Linked DNA regions of Danio rerio. The protein of the gene in region 1 purifies or fractionates together with the protein of each later gene. This does not show direct contact. Links are inferred from orthologs where the notes say so. Each region holds a gene or a part of one and is shown on either strand. Other genes may lie near its edges.

Region 1 (4,029 bases):
TGTACAAATCACGGATCAACTGTGATCCGTTACACCCCTAGTAACAATTGATATGCAGTGTAGCAAAAACAAATACTATGGAAGTCAATGGCTACCAGGTTCCAACATTTAAAACATATATATATTTTCCTTTTTCATTCAACAGAAGAAACTCAAACAGCTTTGGAATAAATAGAGGGAAATTAAATCATGAAAAGTGTTAATTTTTAGGTGAACTATCCCTTTAAGTTGTGGAATAGTCTTCCAGTGCACATCAGAACGGCCTCTGTTTTATCTATATTAAACTCTACTTTTAAAACTTCTCTCTTATTGTCATTTAACAATTTTCTGCCTTGATGTGCAATGATTTTTTACTTCAGAGAATCATCTTCATTTTTATACTCTGTGAAGCGCTTTGGTCGATTGTAATTGTCTTAAATGTGCTATACAAACAAATGTTGTATTGAAATATCAGGCAGAAATAGGGATGGAATATAAAACTGTAAAATTGAAACTTTACCTGGTTTAGCGGTCAGACAGGCTACGCATTTCAGATCCTGAGCCTTATTTTGAACCATGCACACATCACAATCCCAAGCCCCTTCTGGCTTCTTAAATTTGTCCCCCAATCCTAACAGTCCAGTTGAAGTCAAAGCAGCAGCAGTGGTGGTTGCTGTGGTGGTTGTAGAGGATGAAGACTCAGAGGCAGCCAGTAGAGTCAGGCTGGATTTTACTCCAGTTCCAGGTTTGGCTGTGTCACAAGCTACACATTTAACTGCGTCCGGTTTGTTACTGACCAGACATGTGTCACATTCCCAGCTACCAGCCGGAGGAGCAAAGAGGGAACTGATGCTTGCAGGAGCTTCTGCGGGTTTACTGTCCGATTTAGAAGAGTCTGTGTTGGGCTGTGGTGCGAGACAAGCCACACACTTTTTGTCCGAGGGCTTGTTTTGCAACATGCAAGTTCCACAGTTCCATGATCCTGCCGGTGGCCTAAACTTGTCACCAAAACCAGAAAATGGAGATGATGTTGTTGTTGATGTGGACTGTAAAGGTTTATCAGTCGAATTCTGAGAGGGGGATGCAAATCCTGAAAGAGAAAGCAGGCAAATAAATAAACAGCATTCAACTAAAGTTTCATAGAGAGAAATAAATAAATGAGGAAAAACAAATCATACCAGGACCCTTAAGTATGTCCAACACACTGCCCTGTTTTAAGACCTTTGCAGGTTTGAATGGTCCTTCAAACTCCTTTTCTTCAATGACCACTGATTTGACTGAAACATTCAGGAAAGAAATATTAACACCATAACTGTACTTATAAAAATAACATCCGTATTGCAGTGCAAAACAAGCTTTTACCTGGTGCTACTGATGGAACAATTTTCCCATTGGAGAAAGAGGGACCCATTTTCATAGTAGGTGCACTGAAGGTGAATCCAGACTACAGGGAAGAATCATCATTATTTAACGCTCATATTATATGAAGCCTATGAAGTATAATATAAGCAAGTAGACTTACCGATGGAGAGAAAGATGGAGGGCTGGCAGCTGTTGCCTTGACGATAGGTGAAGAGAACGTGAAGGGGGCAGATGGTGGTGTGGATGGTGCAGCCGGCTGCTGATTAAACAAATAACAAAAGTGATCCTAGCACCTATTATTCATCCACCATAACGGTAATAAGCTTCTTAGTTTGATTCTGGTGGCTCAAAGAAAAGCAATACCTTATTCGCTGCTGGCTCCTCCGAGACGGTTATAAGTGGTGCTGTGCTGGATTTGAGCGAGGAGGTCGGAGGAGGAGTGGAGAAAGTAAATGTTGGCAAAGTGAAATTGCTGGGAAGAGAAGCTGGCGGCAGATCTGGTTCCTCAGCAACCTGGAAGAAGAAACGCGTATGAGCATTTAAGCATTCTGGTGGACTGATTCAAAACAAGTTCTGATCAAAAGTGTATAAGCAAGAGCGGTCACAAAACATTTGGAGAAAATTGACTGAGATTCAAAAAGCAATGCAATACTGAACTTGGGTTATAACAGCAGACGGCACTCTAGGCTGGTTTATGACAGCAGACGGTGCTCTAGGCTGGTTTATGACAGCAGACGGCGCTCTAGGCTGGTTTACGACTGCATATATAACAGCTGACGACGCTCTAGGCTTGATTTTAAACAGCAGATGGCGCTCTAGGCTGGTTTAAGACTGCATATATAACAGCTGACGACGCTCTAGGCTTGATTTTAAACAGCAGATGGCGCTCTAGGCTATTTTATTACAGCATCTGTGCTCTAGTCTACCTTTTTATAACAGCTGACGATGCTCTAGGCTTGATTTTATACAGCAAACAGTGCTCAAGGCTAGTTTTATAACTGCAGATGGCGCTCTATGGTAGCTTTTAAAAAGCATTGGCACTCTAGTTACCTTTTTAACAGCTGACGATGCTCTAGGCTTGATTTTAAACTGCAGATGGCGCTCTAGACTAGTTCATAACAACAGATGGCACTCTAGGCTAGCTTTTAAAAAGCAGACGGCACTCTAGGCTACTTTTTAAACAGCAGTCGGCGCTCTAGGCTGATTTATAATTGCAGATGGAGTTCTAGGCTTAAGCGTGTGCTTTTGAATGAGTCATTCAAGTTGGCTTTTTTGCCTTGCGATTAATGTAAACAGCTTACTATGAACACTTGTAGTCGCCTATACCTTCCCTAACTTTACTAATAAAAGTTCTAGGCCAAACAGGTATTTGAAATCGGATGGAAGCAGAGTACATCTGTTTGTAAAGCATATGGTGCCATCTGCTGTTAAAAACAAAGCTGAGAATCAATTAAAAAGAACAACAGCAATGCATTTTTGAAAATAAACAAATAACAGAAACAATTTCTTGCAACAACTCTAGTATACAAGCAACAGAATATCTCTGACCTCATCATCAGGCCGTTTGGATGAAGGTCTGATGGCCCTTTCTCTCTTCATTTTGCCACCTCCTAGAGCAGCACTGTTAGCAGCCGGGGTGCTGGACAAGGGGTACGACAAAGTACTTGTGCTGTGAACAAAGAAATTGACATGTTGAGCATTTCTTCACACAATCCCAGGTACTATGGCAAAGAGTAAATAATTCTAATAATAATAAAAACAAACCGTTTACTCTTACCTTGGAGGGGGAGCCTGGGCGGGTTCTGAAATCGGAGGGGATTGTCTTACCGGCTTAAAGAAATACAGAAGAAAGAATATTATAACCAATTAAAAGGGGAGGATTCAAATAGGATTGTTAAAAGTTCCAACGTCAGTACTAATTACTACTGAAATTCACACACAGTTATAAACACAGCTAATGTATGCTCGACAGTAAGACTGATTAAATATAGAGAGTAAAGACATATATGTCATTTTATACATTGTGCATCCAGTCTCGCAGCTCTATTTATATACATGGAGTATGTATGGTCATGGGATTCAAAACCTAGTAGTGCACGTAAAGAAAATGCATTAATGCACATTTAAAGTGATGTCATTACCTTGCATATTGACAGCAGCTCCCTGATACACACATATTATAGGACTACACAATATTATATAATATATTACATAACATTATATATTATATATATGCATCCCACAGACTTACAAAAACAGGAAAATCTGTTATAATGTGGTACAATCCCATCCTTGAAGGAATCAAGCATGATAGCCCATGTCATACAAATTTTCAGAGGTTGGAACCAATTCCAACACCGGCTGTGTTGTTAATCACTCTGAAAATGCACTTAAAACATGTTTTTATTGAGGCTATAAATCAAAATATGCTGCCAATACAATTTTATTCTAAAACTTAAATTGAATGCCCATCATGATGAAATTGAATGCTTTTAAAAGCCATTTATTGGCCTTGATTTTTAGCAAAAATAACTTAATGACTTTCAACGCTTTTAATGTCCTGTGTAAACCCTGGTAAACATCATGGCCAATCAGCAGCGTTTAGGAATCTGCTCAACAGAACTCAGATCCCCACATCCAAACACACATTATGAATTGTAATGTATGACACACTGTGCTAGAAAGCGC
Region 2 (2,806 bases), on another chromosome or scaffold:
GAGAGCAGGTTCAACAAGGGCTCCAATACGTTGGCTTGAACTAGGTAAACCACTTGCTCTACTGTGCCCCCGCTGGTATAATTGGTCACTGCCCAAACAGCCTCCTTCTGGGTCTTGTAATCACCCTGCATGAGGCAAGAGAGAGAAAAAATTAAGTTGAAAATAAATTAACTTCATGAACAAGTATTGTATTGTGTTCATGTGGTGACATACTCGTCTGAGAACTTCCACCAGGTACGGCACAATGCCAGCATTGATGACCTCCTGAATCTGATAGTCTCTGCCAGCCGTGATGTTGGAGAGAGTCCAGGACGCCTCCTTCTGAATGTTGCTCTTTTGGTGGCGCAACAGAGCTGGGAACATGGGAAGAGCACCAGCCTCCAGCACAGCCTGCGTTTGTTCATCTGTGCCAGTGACAATGTTACCAATAGAACGTAGTGAGGGGGTCTGTGGCAGGAAAAAATAAAAAAGTTATTATTAAATTTACCATTTTAAACGTATAACTCAAGAGTTCACTACTTTCCACCAACTTACCACAATGGACAGCTCCCCAGATGCCAGTAGCTGCACCAGTCGAGGAACCACACCGGCGTTCACCACAACCTCAATGCGATCATTGGGCCCGTCGGTCAGGTAAGAGATGGCCCAGCAGGTGTCCGCAAGCACTTCTTTGTCACTGTGCTGCAGAAGGCAGATGAGTGTGGGTAGTATCTGTTTCACAGCCTCCAGAGGTGGTGCAGGGTTCTTATTGCGGCACAGGTTTGACAAGGTCCATGTGACGTTCCTCAGGTAACCAGCCTGTAGAAGAAAAACTGGCTGGTCAGGGTAATTCTACACAGCTTTCACGCCATCTAGCGGTAATGCATGCTCACTACAGTTTAAAACAAATAGTCCTGAACACCAAAAACAACATTGTTTGAGGTTTAGAGATAATACATGTAAAAACCTTTATTTTAATTTTTTTTAGCTAATAATTTTAAATACGTTTTATGCAATACACCTTTCAAGAACCCATGATCACTGTACAACAAATATACACAATTCAATAATTTAAAAATAAACCCACAGTATATTTAAAAAAAAAAAAAAAAAAAAAAAAGAGAAGATTATAAAATACAAATAGCCAAATAGCTTTGGCAGAGGGAACAGAGTGTATGGAGGAGAAGGATCTAAGGGAGCAGAAATGAGTGATGATATGGAAGAGATCAGACAAATAAGCTGGTGTGAGGTTATGGATAGCCTTAAAAAGTATGCAGGACGATTTTATAATCGACTCTAGGTTGGATTGGAAGCCAGTGCAGATTTTGTAAAATGGGGGTAATATGGTGAAAAAGAGTTTAGTGATGATGTGGGCAGCTGAGTTCTGGACCAGTAGAAGCTTATAGACGGATTAAAAAAAAATGTAATACATTAATAGGTTTTCTAAATGTAAATTTATAGGGAGAATGTTACAAGTTGCAATTAGCAATTTGTAGTCATCAAATTTGTAAAAAAAAAAAAAAAAAAAAAAACACAATTATTTTATTTTACAATCATATGTGCGCCCATAGGCGTTCTGATCTAAAAAAAGATGGCGTGTTGAGGTGCATTGCTATTTTGAGAAACTATAATAGTCGGTTCTATAGACCTGAACAAAGCCGGTCTATTGTCCAGCAGAGCACGTTAGTTGTGCGCCTCGCTTACACACTGCTTAATACACACAAAATGTAGAGCAATACGCAAAAATCTTTACATATGAAAAATTAAAATATAATACATATTAAGGATTAAAAATATTACAAAAGATTATTTTCAAGCCTAAATTAATATAAAAACTATACTTTCATGCCTTCATCCCGGGAGGCTTTTTCAGTTCATTCATGACAATTTGCTAATGTATAATGTATTATTTTTAGCAGTATTATATGCATATTTATATTTGCTTAATTAAAAACGAGCTTAGATTTGCCCACCTGTCAGGTTTCAGACCATATGGGAGTAGCATGTGTATTAGGATATAACTCAGGTTTTTGAACACACTTCGTTATTATTGTTCATTTATTTGTTTGCTGGAAATTAGAACAGATTTTAGAAATAGTTTTAAAACTAATCTTTGCGCTTAAACTAAATTAATTACTTATAGGCTAATTGATGTCGGTGCGTATGACACGTTTCCCTATCCACAAACGTGAAAGTTAATAAGGAGGCTCATTTCTCATTCTCGCGCTGTAGATGCTCTGTTTAACTGTTTTCTTGCTAGTGAAACGCTCAGTTTTTCCACTTACGTCATGTAAATAGCAAATGCGCTATGGTGCGATGCAACGCACTGTTAAAGGGAATGAGAGATGAGACTCTGATTGGTTTATTCTCAAAACACATCTATAACTCATTAATAAAATAAGCTGAACCCTTTCAGACCATGCGCCATGGCGCAAAGCGGATTTTTTCCCTCATTATTTAAGAAAAAGTGGATTCTGACATGCCCTAATGCGTTTGCACCCTGCGCATGGATTGTGAAAAGAGCCCAAGGTTTAAAGTAAATCTTAAGTGTATACCTTTATAATAAATTTAATATAATAATAATAATATCTATTAAGCTTAGAGTGTAAATAAACAAGAACAAAACTAATTAAACCGATAATTTTTATTATTTGCTTGAGAATCAGGTCAAAAACATTTGATAATTACGGAGGACAAGAATTGTAATTAAATAGTGAAAGGCAAATTCCAAATGTTTCAGAATTTGTGCATGAAAATATAATGAATTTGTCTGGGGTTTTCTTACATTTTCATGCGCAAATTCTGAAACATTCGGAATTTGCCTTTC
Region 3 (4,611 bases), on another chromosome or scaffold:
TGTTCAGTGAACACAAACTGCCGTAGGTTATTAAAGACATAAACCCCTCACTGCACCACAGCTACGCTCCTTCAGCAGACCTCCTCATTCCTGCAGCACAAGAGCTTTATGATTATGAGCGCCAAAAGTGGCGGATCTGTTTGGCAAAATATTTGACTCTGGTCACCGCATCCCTAATGACTGTTTGGCGAAATTTGACTGCATATCAAACGACTGAAACAATATAACTAGAGAAATCTCCACTGTGCTGCTGAGTGAGAGCGCTTCTCACTGAATAGCACAGCAGCGATGACGCAAGCCTGCCGAGGCCTGATTGTGGTGTGAGTGCGGGCCATCGGGGGAGACGGGAGAGGGGACAAGCGTGCTTTGGCACGGTTCGAGGCAACTGTACCTAGTGTGAGTATGGCCTTAAAAAACAAGACTTATTAATGTTAAGGGCCTGACTGGATTGGAGGGTGGAGGATCACGATGCCGGTGTTGTCTATCGGCCCAACCCTAATACATAGCAGAGCTTGCAAAGAGTCTTTTTTTCCGACAACACGAACGTTGACAACATAACTTACTGGAAATCCAAAATACTTCCACACCGGCTACTTCATTGAAAGAGGAGAGGGTTTAAGTTCTGTCGACGGGTCTCCTGCATCTGCAGTTCAACAAGAGTGTTTCTTTTTTTTGGGGCTTGGCAACATCGACGATTCCATTTTTTGATTCGATAATCGAAATGGAGCATGAATTTCAATCCAATTAAAATAGAAATTGTGACACCCTTATAACGAAGAGAGAAATACAAGTGGGGATATCATTCCTACCGGCAAATGTGCATTTGATATCAAATACGAAAGTGAAAGCATGCCAAAATATTAATGAGCCGTTTATTCAATAGAAAAGCTGACAAATTACATCTGATCATTTTCTTCATTTTAACTGTACAATTTTTTGCAATAGGCCTATTGTTAAATGTTTTGTTTATTTCTGCACTGACACCTCAAAAGAAAGCTCAAAATTGATCTGCTTCCAACAGGTTTTTAAAAAACATTAATTCAATAAATAGAATTTTACAAAACATGACAACTAAAATGAAGCTATGAGAAAGTCTTACCTCTCTGATTTATATTTGGTGATAATGTGGGCATTAAAATTAAAAGATAGATAGATAGGCGGAAATATATACATCTATCCATCCATCTCCCCCCTCAAATTTAAATACATCACAATTGTATTTCTTTTAACTGTCAGTTGTATTTAAAGAAAAGTTATGATGAAGCAATGTTTTGCTTTTGACATTTAAAATTTGTGGCTAAAAATGAGCTATTAACTTTTTTTTATGGGGCCAGTGAAAATTTTGGCAGGGCAAGTAAAAATCCTAACTACTGGCTTGATTGGGCCAGTAGAAAATTCTTAGCACTGTATAACCCTTTTACAGCTTGAAAAGAAATTAAGATATGGATTTTTTTTTATATCCTATAAAATACATCTCCCACATGTAAAACAGTGATGGTCAATGGGGTAACATTATACAAATGTAATAAATTAAGATCTAAAGGTCTAATTGTTTTTAAAATTTAATATACAGCCACTACTATCAATAAAGCTTCATTTTATGTCATATTACATCTACATTTCAACAGGGCAAATTAATTTTAAAGGAAATCAATCCTGGGTTTAGGAATCAATAGAAAACACTAGAATGCAAGTATGAGGCAAGAAAAACTATCGGGCAGTTTGTGGAGGTTAAAAACTATGAGAAACATCTAATTTAAAACTATACCATTAGGAATAATGGCAATAACTACAATAGCAATGGTAATTTGTGTCAACAAAAGTTTCAATATTATCCAACTATAATAATATTGCTAAAGGGTCAAAATTAGAAGATTCTGCCCTGGTAAGTCTTGACAATATTAAATTATATAAAGCAATGTTGTACAGATTGTTGTAATAGACTATAATACAGAAACTAAAATAACAAAATATAAAACAAACTGGTTAAAGACAATTACACAAATTTAACATCATTTACTAAATAACTACAGTTTATTAGTAATAATAAACAATTATATGTAGTATAGTATGTAGTAAAAAATATCCTTAAATTCAGCATCAAGTGGGTTCTCGCGCTTCAATGCACTCGTTATCAGCAAGGAGTCTGCGAATTCACTAACGTTACGAAACAGTTTAGAAACTTAATGTGATGAACATGTAAACACTCAAACTGGGGCTTTAATTTGTTACCACAGACTGTCGTGCCTTTAAAGTGAAAGTGTAAGTTACCTTAAACTGAACTTGTGGCTCGTTCTCCGCCATCGCTGTACTGTGAGTGTGTGTTGGTCTTTGTGCTGCAGTCACTCTGCGGGAGAGATGGCGGGACGGTTAGTCACATCACACAAAGGCCGCACCAATTCCAAATAAAGGCCACGGGACCACAAGATTACTCAAATAAACCTTTTCGAGCCAATATTAAAAACAAAACCGCTTTTAGAACTTAAAACAAACAAATGTAATGCTCATTGAACAACACGCAGATCTAAATAAGGGGATGCGCGCGAACACACGAGGCCGCTGCCGCTGAAGCCTAAACTTCACAATACAGCGGCCGCCCGAAGGCCTCAAACAGGCCGTCAACATGAAAATCAACAAATAGCGAATTTAGTAGTTTTTAGAAATCCAGAAATTAGTTTAGTTGACAGAACTTAAAACGAAGTAAGTGTTGTTTCCGCGGCTCCAAGATCGCGCGCTACCAACAACTCGGGATGGCGCTACGACAGAGATGAGCCATGATGAAACACTCAAAACTGCACATCTGCGGCCAATAAAACGATCAGACTGACTTACTAGCGCCTGGGCACTGCAGAAAAGCTTTCAGATGTGTTTAGTCGGCGCTGAAAATAAAACGTGTTAGTGAAAAGAGTGTGTGATGAGATGAACGCAGTCGTTCCGCACTCACCGGTGTTGAAGTGATCGAGGAAGAGAGCAAATGGCTGCGCCCGCGCGGGATTCAGCATGGCTCACATAAACGCTTCCGCCCCACCACGTGACCTGCTGCTGCCGCGGGACAACAGCGTCATTTAGTGGCAGAAGAGCGAACCTTTTACAGCATATCACTCAATTTTCTTCGGCTTTAGTTCTTACTTTATCATGAGTGAAGAGCGAATAGATTAAAGGCATAAGTCACCCAAAATGAAAGTTCTGTAGACATTTATTCACTCTTTACTTGTTTCAAAACTAACTAGTTTTCTTTTTTAAATAAAAACCGACATTTTTAAGAAAGCTGGAAATCTGTAACCTTTGAAAGAGATGTGTGCACAATTTCCAAGACAAAATCCTGCCCCAACCAGGCAATGAATCTTCTGCCCGCTGAATAAAACGAGAGATAAAGGTAAGGAGCAGGTTGCCCTCTCAAGTGTCACCTTTGAGGACAGAAACACTGAAGGTAAATACATACAATTGTTACATTATGAAATTCAATTTGCACGTACGTACTAAAATAGTAATACAGCATGTTTTGGTCGATGTGCCCCTCTTTAGATCAAGATTCTTTAATAGATTGTTCTCTGAGTCATGAACTTCAGAAAATTGAGCAGAACGTCCAGCTCCAATTCCATTTCCAGCAAGACATCCAGCTCCAGCAGCCCGTCCAGCTTCAATTCCAGCAGCCTGCCCTTGATGATCAGCAGGTTCAACATCTGGCTCAAGACTTCAACGGTATATTGACCTTTATATGTATTTTGTCAACAATGTTCATGCTATGTTCCAACATCATAATATGTGTTAGCTATCTACCGGTACTTAATGTTTTATAGAAGCCTTTTTTCCTAAATCGAGTTGTGGAGACATGTGAAATAACCCTAAGGAAAGTTGTTCCTAATACATATGGAAATATTCCTTTTTATATGTTCACTAATGATAACTCCAATTACTTTACTTTTTGTAGGTGACATTTTGGGCTGCTATAAAATTGTACAAAAGCTTGGTAAGGGAGGACACGGCACAGTCTTCAAAGCGATTTGCTTGATGGACGGTCTTGAGGAACTACATTTTTACTCACTACATCTTAGCTAAATGTTTCTCTCACTGCCTGTTCAGGTCCTTTTATTGTGTCACGTTACATTGAAAACGTTTAATAAATGTGACTAATTCACCAACATTACAATTGTTGTGTTTTGTTAATCAGGTGGCATTGAAGGTTGTTTTGAAGAGGAACAATATGGATTATCTCAGCATTGTAGTTCTCTTGATTTTTAGTTCAAGATATGTTAATTATAGCCAAAAAAAGAATTTTCAAACATCACTGACAACAAATTTCTATCTTCTACAGCCTGGTCATCCTACTCCCCTTTCATTAGAAGTTGCACTAACAATACTTGCTAACGAAGGATTCCTCAGATCATCCAGATGCTGGAGTGGCAGGAGCTGCCAGACTCTTACATCATGGTTTTGGAGCACCCCTTACCCTGCAAAGACCTTTTTGACTTCCTGGAGCACTATGAAGGAACCCTCAGTGAAGACGTGGCACGGTACATCATGTGGCAGGTAGTGCAGGCTGCCCACATGTGCTGTCAAAGAGGAATCCTCCATCGCGACATTAAATTAGACAACCTGCTAATCAACAAG
Region 4 (4,725 bases), on another chromosome or scaffold:
AAGATTTTTCAACACATTTTTAAACATGACAGCTTTAATAATTTATTTAGTCTTTGCCATGATGACAGCACATAATACTTGACTAGTAATAAATAAAAAATAATATTTGACTTTTTTCAAGATTCAGCTTAAAGTGACATTAAAGGTGTACCCTAATGAGAAAAAAAAATGCTTAAACCAGCCTAGGCGGGTTGGCTGGTTTTAGCTGGTTGATCAGCCTGTTATTTTGGCCATTTCCAGGCTGGTTTCAGGCTTAAAAATGACCAGCTTGAATAGCCTGGTTTAAGCTGGACATAGTTTCTACAGATTTTCCGCATATTTTCAGTCCATCATTAATTCTGTTTATTTACTTGAGTAAATGTGTGTACATCTATGTTTATTCAGTTTTTAAATTAAGTACAGTAATAATATTGACTAATATGAACATGTTCATCTGATTTATGCACAAGGCACTTTGTACAGTAATATGTTCTGTCTTTTAGTGGAGATATTATATGAGAGACTTGCTTTGTTTACCAAATAGAGTGGATCTAATTGGAGTTGCATTTTAAAGATTAAATAAAAGTTAAAAAAAAATATATGATTTTTTAATTCACATATTTATTTATTTATTTCCTTTATTTAGCCAGGAGATCACATTGAGACAGTACTGTCTCTTCTTCCAGTGAGACCTGGTCAAGATGGCAGGCAGCACATAAAGTTTCATATAAAAATCACAAACAATACCACAAAATGACAAAATCACCATTCTTAAAAACATCAGCTCATAACAAACAATTGCAGGTGTCCTTTAAAATGTTGTACAAAAGATGTTTAAAAGTACTCAAGAGTCGGAAGAGTGTCAAGATTGAGCTGATTTTGCAGGTCATTCCAAGCCCTGGGAGCGTAAACGGAAAAAGCACGTTTGCCAAGTTCTGATAGTGCCCTTGGAACTATCAGACGAATACATGAACCAGATCTAGTGTGTTGGTTGTTGGTGTGAAATGTTAATAAATTAAAAATATAGGATGGTAATTTACCTAAAAGAGCCTTTAAAATAAATAAGTACAGACGTCATTTTCTCCTTTGATATAGAGATAACCAGTCTAAGGAATCATACAAAATACAGTGATGCGTCCGTGAGTCTGCCCCTGTGACAAAGCGTATCGCTGCATGATAAACAGAATCTAATTCTCTTAATAGGGTAGCTGCGTGCATATAGAGATGATCACCATAATCCATTATAGACAGAAATGTACTCTCTACTAATTTTTTGCGGGCTTTATAAGGAAAACAGTTTCTTGACCGGTATAAAAAACCTAACTTTGGCCTAAGCTTTTTCAGTGACTTGTCAATGTGTATATCAAAGGCTAATCTCTCATCAATCCAAATACCTAGATATTTATAAAAGCTAACTCTTTCTATTTGAACACCGTTCAGAGTTTTTATTGTCTGATCTGTTGACTAAAAATCATATATTTAGTCTTTTTTTTTTTATTTAAAACCAATTTTAAATTTTGCAACGTACACTGCAATATTTGAAAAGCAATCTGTAGATGTTGTACAGCTTGTTAAGATGTTGTTACAGCATATTAAGGTTTTCGTTATGATACTCCCAAAATAATTCCTTAGAAATCCACAGATTTTTACCCAAATTCTCCGCAGAAATAGCAAAAAAAAAAAAAAAACGTCATCAACCAGGACCAAACCCCTCTAAAACCAGACTGATCAGCCAGCTAAAACCAGCCATAGAGGTAAAGTTGGTTTTATATTCGGATATTCAGACATTCTCCTAAATAATATAATTTCAGAAAAGTATTCTTTGCAAATTCTGAACACGGAAATCATATTAGCAGCCAATGACTCAGTACAACATTGCTCACAGTGAATCAGATAGTGCTAATGTTGTTTAGAAGTCATACTCGCATGCTAATGTTGATCGAATATACAAAGTAACGGTAAACAATATCCGCTACATGAACGAATGATAGAGGTAAAGTTGGTTTTACATTCGCACATTCTTTCATTTAGCAGTCTCTATTTTGTTTCCCTGCTGAAAAATCCGGCTTAAACCAGCCTAGGCTGGTTGGCTGGTGGTCGACCAGGCTGGTTTTAGAGGGGTTTTGGCCACTTCCAGGCTGGTTTCCAATAATTTCCAATATTAGTATACACTAACCTGCACATTATTCAATAATTACCAGCCAAATCCAGCTAAAACCAGCTTGGTTTAAGCTGGACATAACTGGTTTTGGCTGGACTCCCAGCTTGGCTAGGCTGGTCAAGCTGGTTTTAGCTGGTCATCTCCCAGCCTAACAAGCTAAGACCAGGCTGGAAATGGCTGGAAACCAGCCTGGAAATGGCCAAAACCCCTCCAAAACCAGCATGGTCGACCAGCTAAAACCAGCCTACCAACCTAGGCTGGTTTAAGCTGGATTTTTCAGCAGGGTTGCCATGTTACTTTGAATATTCGATTGGAATTAGCATGCAAGTATGACTTGACAACAACATCAACACTGTTTATTTGACTGTGAACACTGTTGTACTTTGATAGTCATTAGCTGCTGTTTATTTCCCTGTTTAGAGTTTGCAAATAATACTTTTAGGAAATTATATTATTAATTATTATATAATATTATTATTTATTATTAATTATATTATAAAGTTGAATGTGCGAATATAAGACCAACTTTACCTCAATAAACCAGCCAACCATCTTAGGCTGGTAAGCTGTTTTTAGCAGGATGTGACATAAATATTTCGTCAGTTTAACGGTAGCCAAAATTTGGTTTTAAATTCGCACATTTGTTCATTTAACGGTTGCTATTTACCACAGTAATTTGAATATTACAGGGTATAATAAACTATCGTCTGAATATGGCATTTATCTGCCCCAAAAACAACATTAGCACTATTAAACTGACTGTGAAGTGAACAATGTTGTACTTTGACAGTCTGCTACAATTTCCCAATTAAGGAGGAAGTCCGATTGATAAAACCAACTTTACCTCAATCACTTATATACATTTTGCCACCACACTGCGTTTCAGATTGTATATAGTTTATACAGTTCAGTTCTCCTACTCACAGTGTGACTGTATCATCCACTCGTGAAACACAAAGGACCTTTTCAAGTTTCCATCACGGTACAAAAATGTCAACAGTGTCTCGATGCGTCCTTAATTAAACACCTGTCACACGCTTCCCGTTTGCCTTCCTGTGTTGTTATTGAGAACCGCACTCCACCCAGTGTTCACACACAGAATTACATATACAAAACCACACTCCAAAGGGTTTAACTAAGTTATTATGACAACTACGTTGGTTTAGTTCTGTAGACACCCGAAAAAAACGTTCTTAATATTAATATTAACAGTATTGAGTAGATGATTCAACTGAACGACTGAACTCTAAACCACTAACCGGTAAAATACGTTTTCTCGTGAGATCAGGCTGGACCCTATATACCACAAAAGCACTCATAAGTGTAATTTTTTTACATTACGCTGGGATATTTTGGGTTGAAACCATCTGAATGCGGACTAAAATAGCTTTTCATTGATGTTTGGTTTGTTAGGATAGGATTTATTTGGCTGGTATACGGTAATCTGAAGGTTTAAAAAAATCTAAATATTAAAGAAAATTACCTTCAAAGTTAATTAAATTTAGTTTTTAGCATTCAAATATTACAGTTTCATATACTTACATTAGGAAAATTACAAAATAATTTAATTGAACATAATTTTTTACTTAATATTCTAATGATTTTTGGCATAAAATCAATTTTAAAATGAATGATTTAGAACTACTTAATGTATTTTGGGGTATTAAAAATCATACATTAGTTTAGTTTTGCAGCACTGTGGTTGCAAACACTCATGACTTACAGTATGTTACTCTTTTCATCGAATTAATATTATTTTAATGTCATTTAAAGCACATTTCTACCCAAAAGTTTGAATATAATATTCAGAAATAATGTACTGCAATTCATATATTCCACCATTACTTTCAATACTGCCGATATTGGTATCGCAGGTAATCTGGTTCACGGTGTTAAATCCCTTAATTACAGTAGTTTGGTCTCTTGTACAGCTATGTGGCATAAATAATAATTATGATAAATAAATATAAAATAAATAAATGCAAATGTTTATAAAGAGCTCCTTTGACAACATGCGGTACCTTCTCGGCCTAATCAGCAATCAATTTTCCGACACAGCAAAACAGGTAAAGCAGTTTCTCGATGAGGAAAACATTGGAATAATGTAACGGCCAGCACAAAGCCCTGACCTAAACCTGATTGAAAATCGTTGTAAAATCCGTGATGAGAAAAACATATCTACTGCATTAAACTGTATGAAAGTAGGAAACATTCACATATCGCAAATAAAGCCTTGGTCACACTAGAGTTTCAGCATTCACAATTCTGTTGTACAGCACTGCAAAAGGGGGCAGGATATAACAAAATGATTAGACGTTGACAATGCAAGCAATCGCTCCACATTTTTGTACATAGGTCACGTTTCGATCTATTATTGGTCTTACATATTCATGTGATGAGGTCAAAGTTCACTAAGCCAAATTGGAATGCAGTGAACTGCGAAACTTCACACAAGCTTGCATTTCCGGTTTGCCTGCCTTCGCATGCGTATGAATGAAAATCAGTAAGGGGAAAAGTGCAGTGCGACTGCGGCTTGACCACCAATGACTAACCCTTGCTGAAGTTCTGATTAAAGTTTTATTTAT

The links.
Region 2: the proteins of nup153 (region 1) and kpna2 purify together in Homo sapiens (co-immunoprecipitation; 4 studies listed by BioGRID and IntAct, counting the BioPlex papers as one, with this or other methods). This does not show direct contact. The link is inferred for Danio rerio from reciprocal best matches to the Homo sapiens genes NUP153 and KPNA2.
Region 3: the proteins of nup153 (region 1) and ran purify together in Homo sapiens (affinity purification with mass spectrometry; 5 studies listed by BioGRID and IntAct, counting the BioPlex papers as one, with this or other methods). This does not show direct contact. The link is inferred for Danio rerio from reciprocal best matches to the Homo sapiens genes NUP153 and RAN.
Region 4: the proteins of nup153 (region 1) and nup50 purify together in Homo sapiens (affinity purification with mass spectrometry; 8 studies listed by BioGRID and IntAct, counting the BioPlex papers as one, with this or other methods). This does not show direct contact. The link is inferred for Danio rerio from reciprocal best matches to the Homo sapiens genes NUP153 and NUP50.

The regions. Positions count from the first base shown.
Region 1 is NC_133194.1:48,924,047-48,928,075, forward strand, and holds part of nup153 (nuclear pore complex protein Nup153), read right to left. Parts: intron 3,172-4,029; coding exon 3,119-3,171; intron 3,011-3,118; coding exon 2,890-3,010; intron 1,855-2,889; coding exon 1,705-1,854; intron 1,601-1,704; coding exon 1,502-1,600; intron 1,424-1,501; coding exon 1,342-1,423; intron 1,257-1,341; coding exon 1,158-1,256; intron 1,070-1,157; coding exon 500-1,069; intron 1-499. UniProt on the Homo sapiens protein: Component of the nuclear pore complex (NPC), a complex required for the trafficking across the nuclear envelope. Functions as a scaffolding element in the nuclear phase of the NPC essential for normal nucleocytoplasmic transport of proteins and mRNAs.
Region 2 is NC_133178.1:24,115,344-24,118,149, forward strand, and holds part of kpna2 (importin subunit alpha-1), read right to left. Parts: intron 799-2,806; coding exon 535-798; intron 448-534; coding exon 214-447; intron 126-213; coding exon 1-125.
Region 3 is NC_133189.1:25,978,919-25,983,529, reverse strand, and holds the start of ran (GTP-binding nuclear protein Ran), read right to left. Parts: upstream 3,077-4,611; 5' UTR 2,945-3,076; exon of another isoform or gene 2,348-2,944; 5' UTR 2,305-2,347; coding exon 2,272-2,304; intron 1-2,271. UniProt on the Homo sapiens protein: GTPase involved in nucleocytoplasmic transport, participating both to the import and the export from the nucleus of proteins and RNAs. Switches between a cytoplasmic GDP- and a nuclear GTP-bound state by nucleotide exchange and GTP hydrolysis.
Region 4 is NC_133179.1:71,848,741-71,853,465, reverse strand, and holds the start of nup50 (nuclear pore complex protein Nup50), read right to left. Parts: upstream 3,177-4,725; 5' UTR 3,065-3,176; intron 1-3,064. UniProt on the Homo sapiens protein: Component of the nuclear pore complex that has a direct role in nuclear protein import. Actively displaces NLSs from importin-alpha, and facilitates disassembly of the importin-alpha:beta-cargo complex and importin recycling.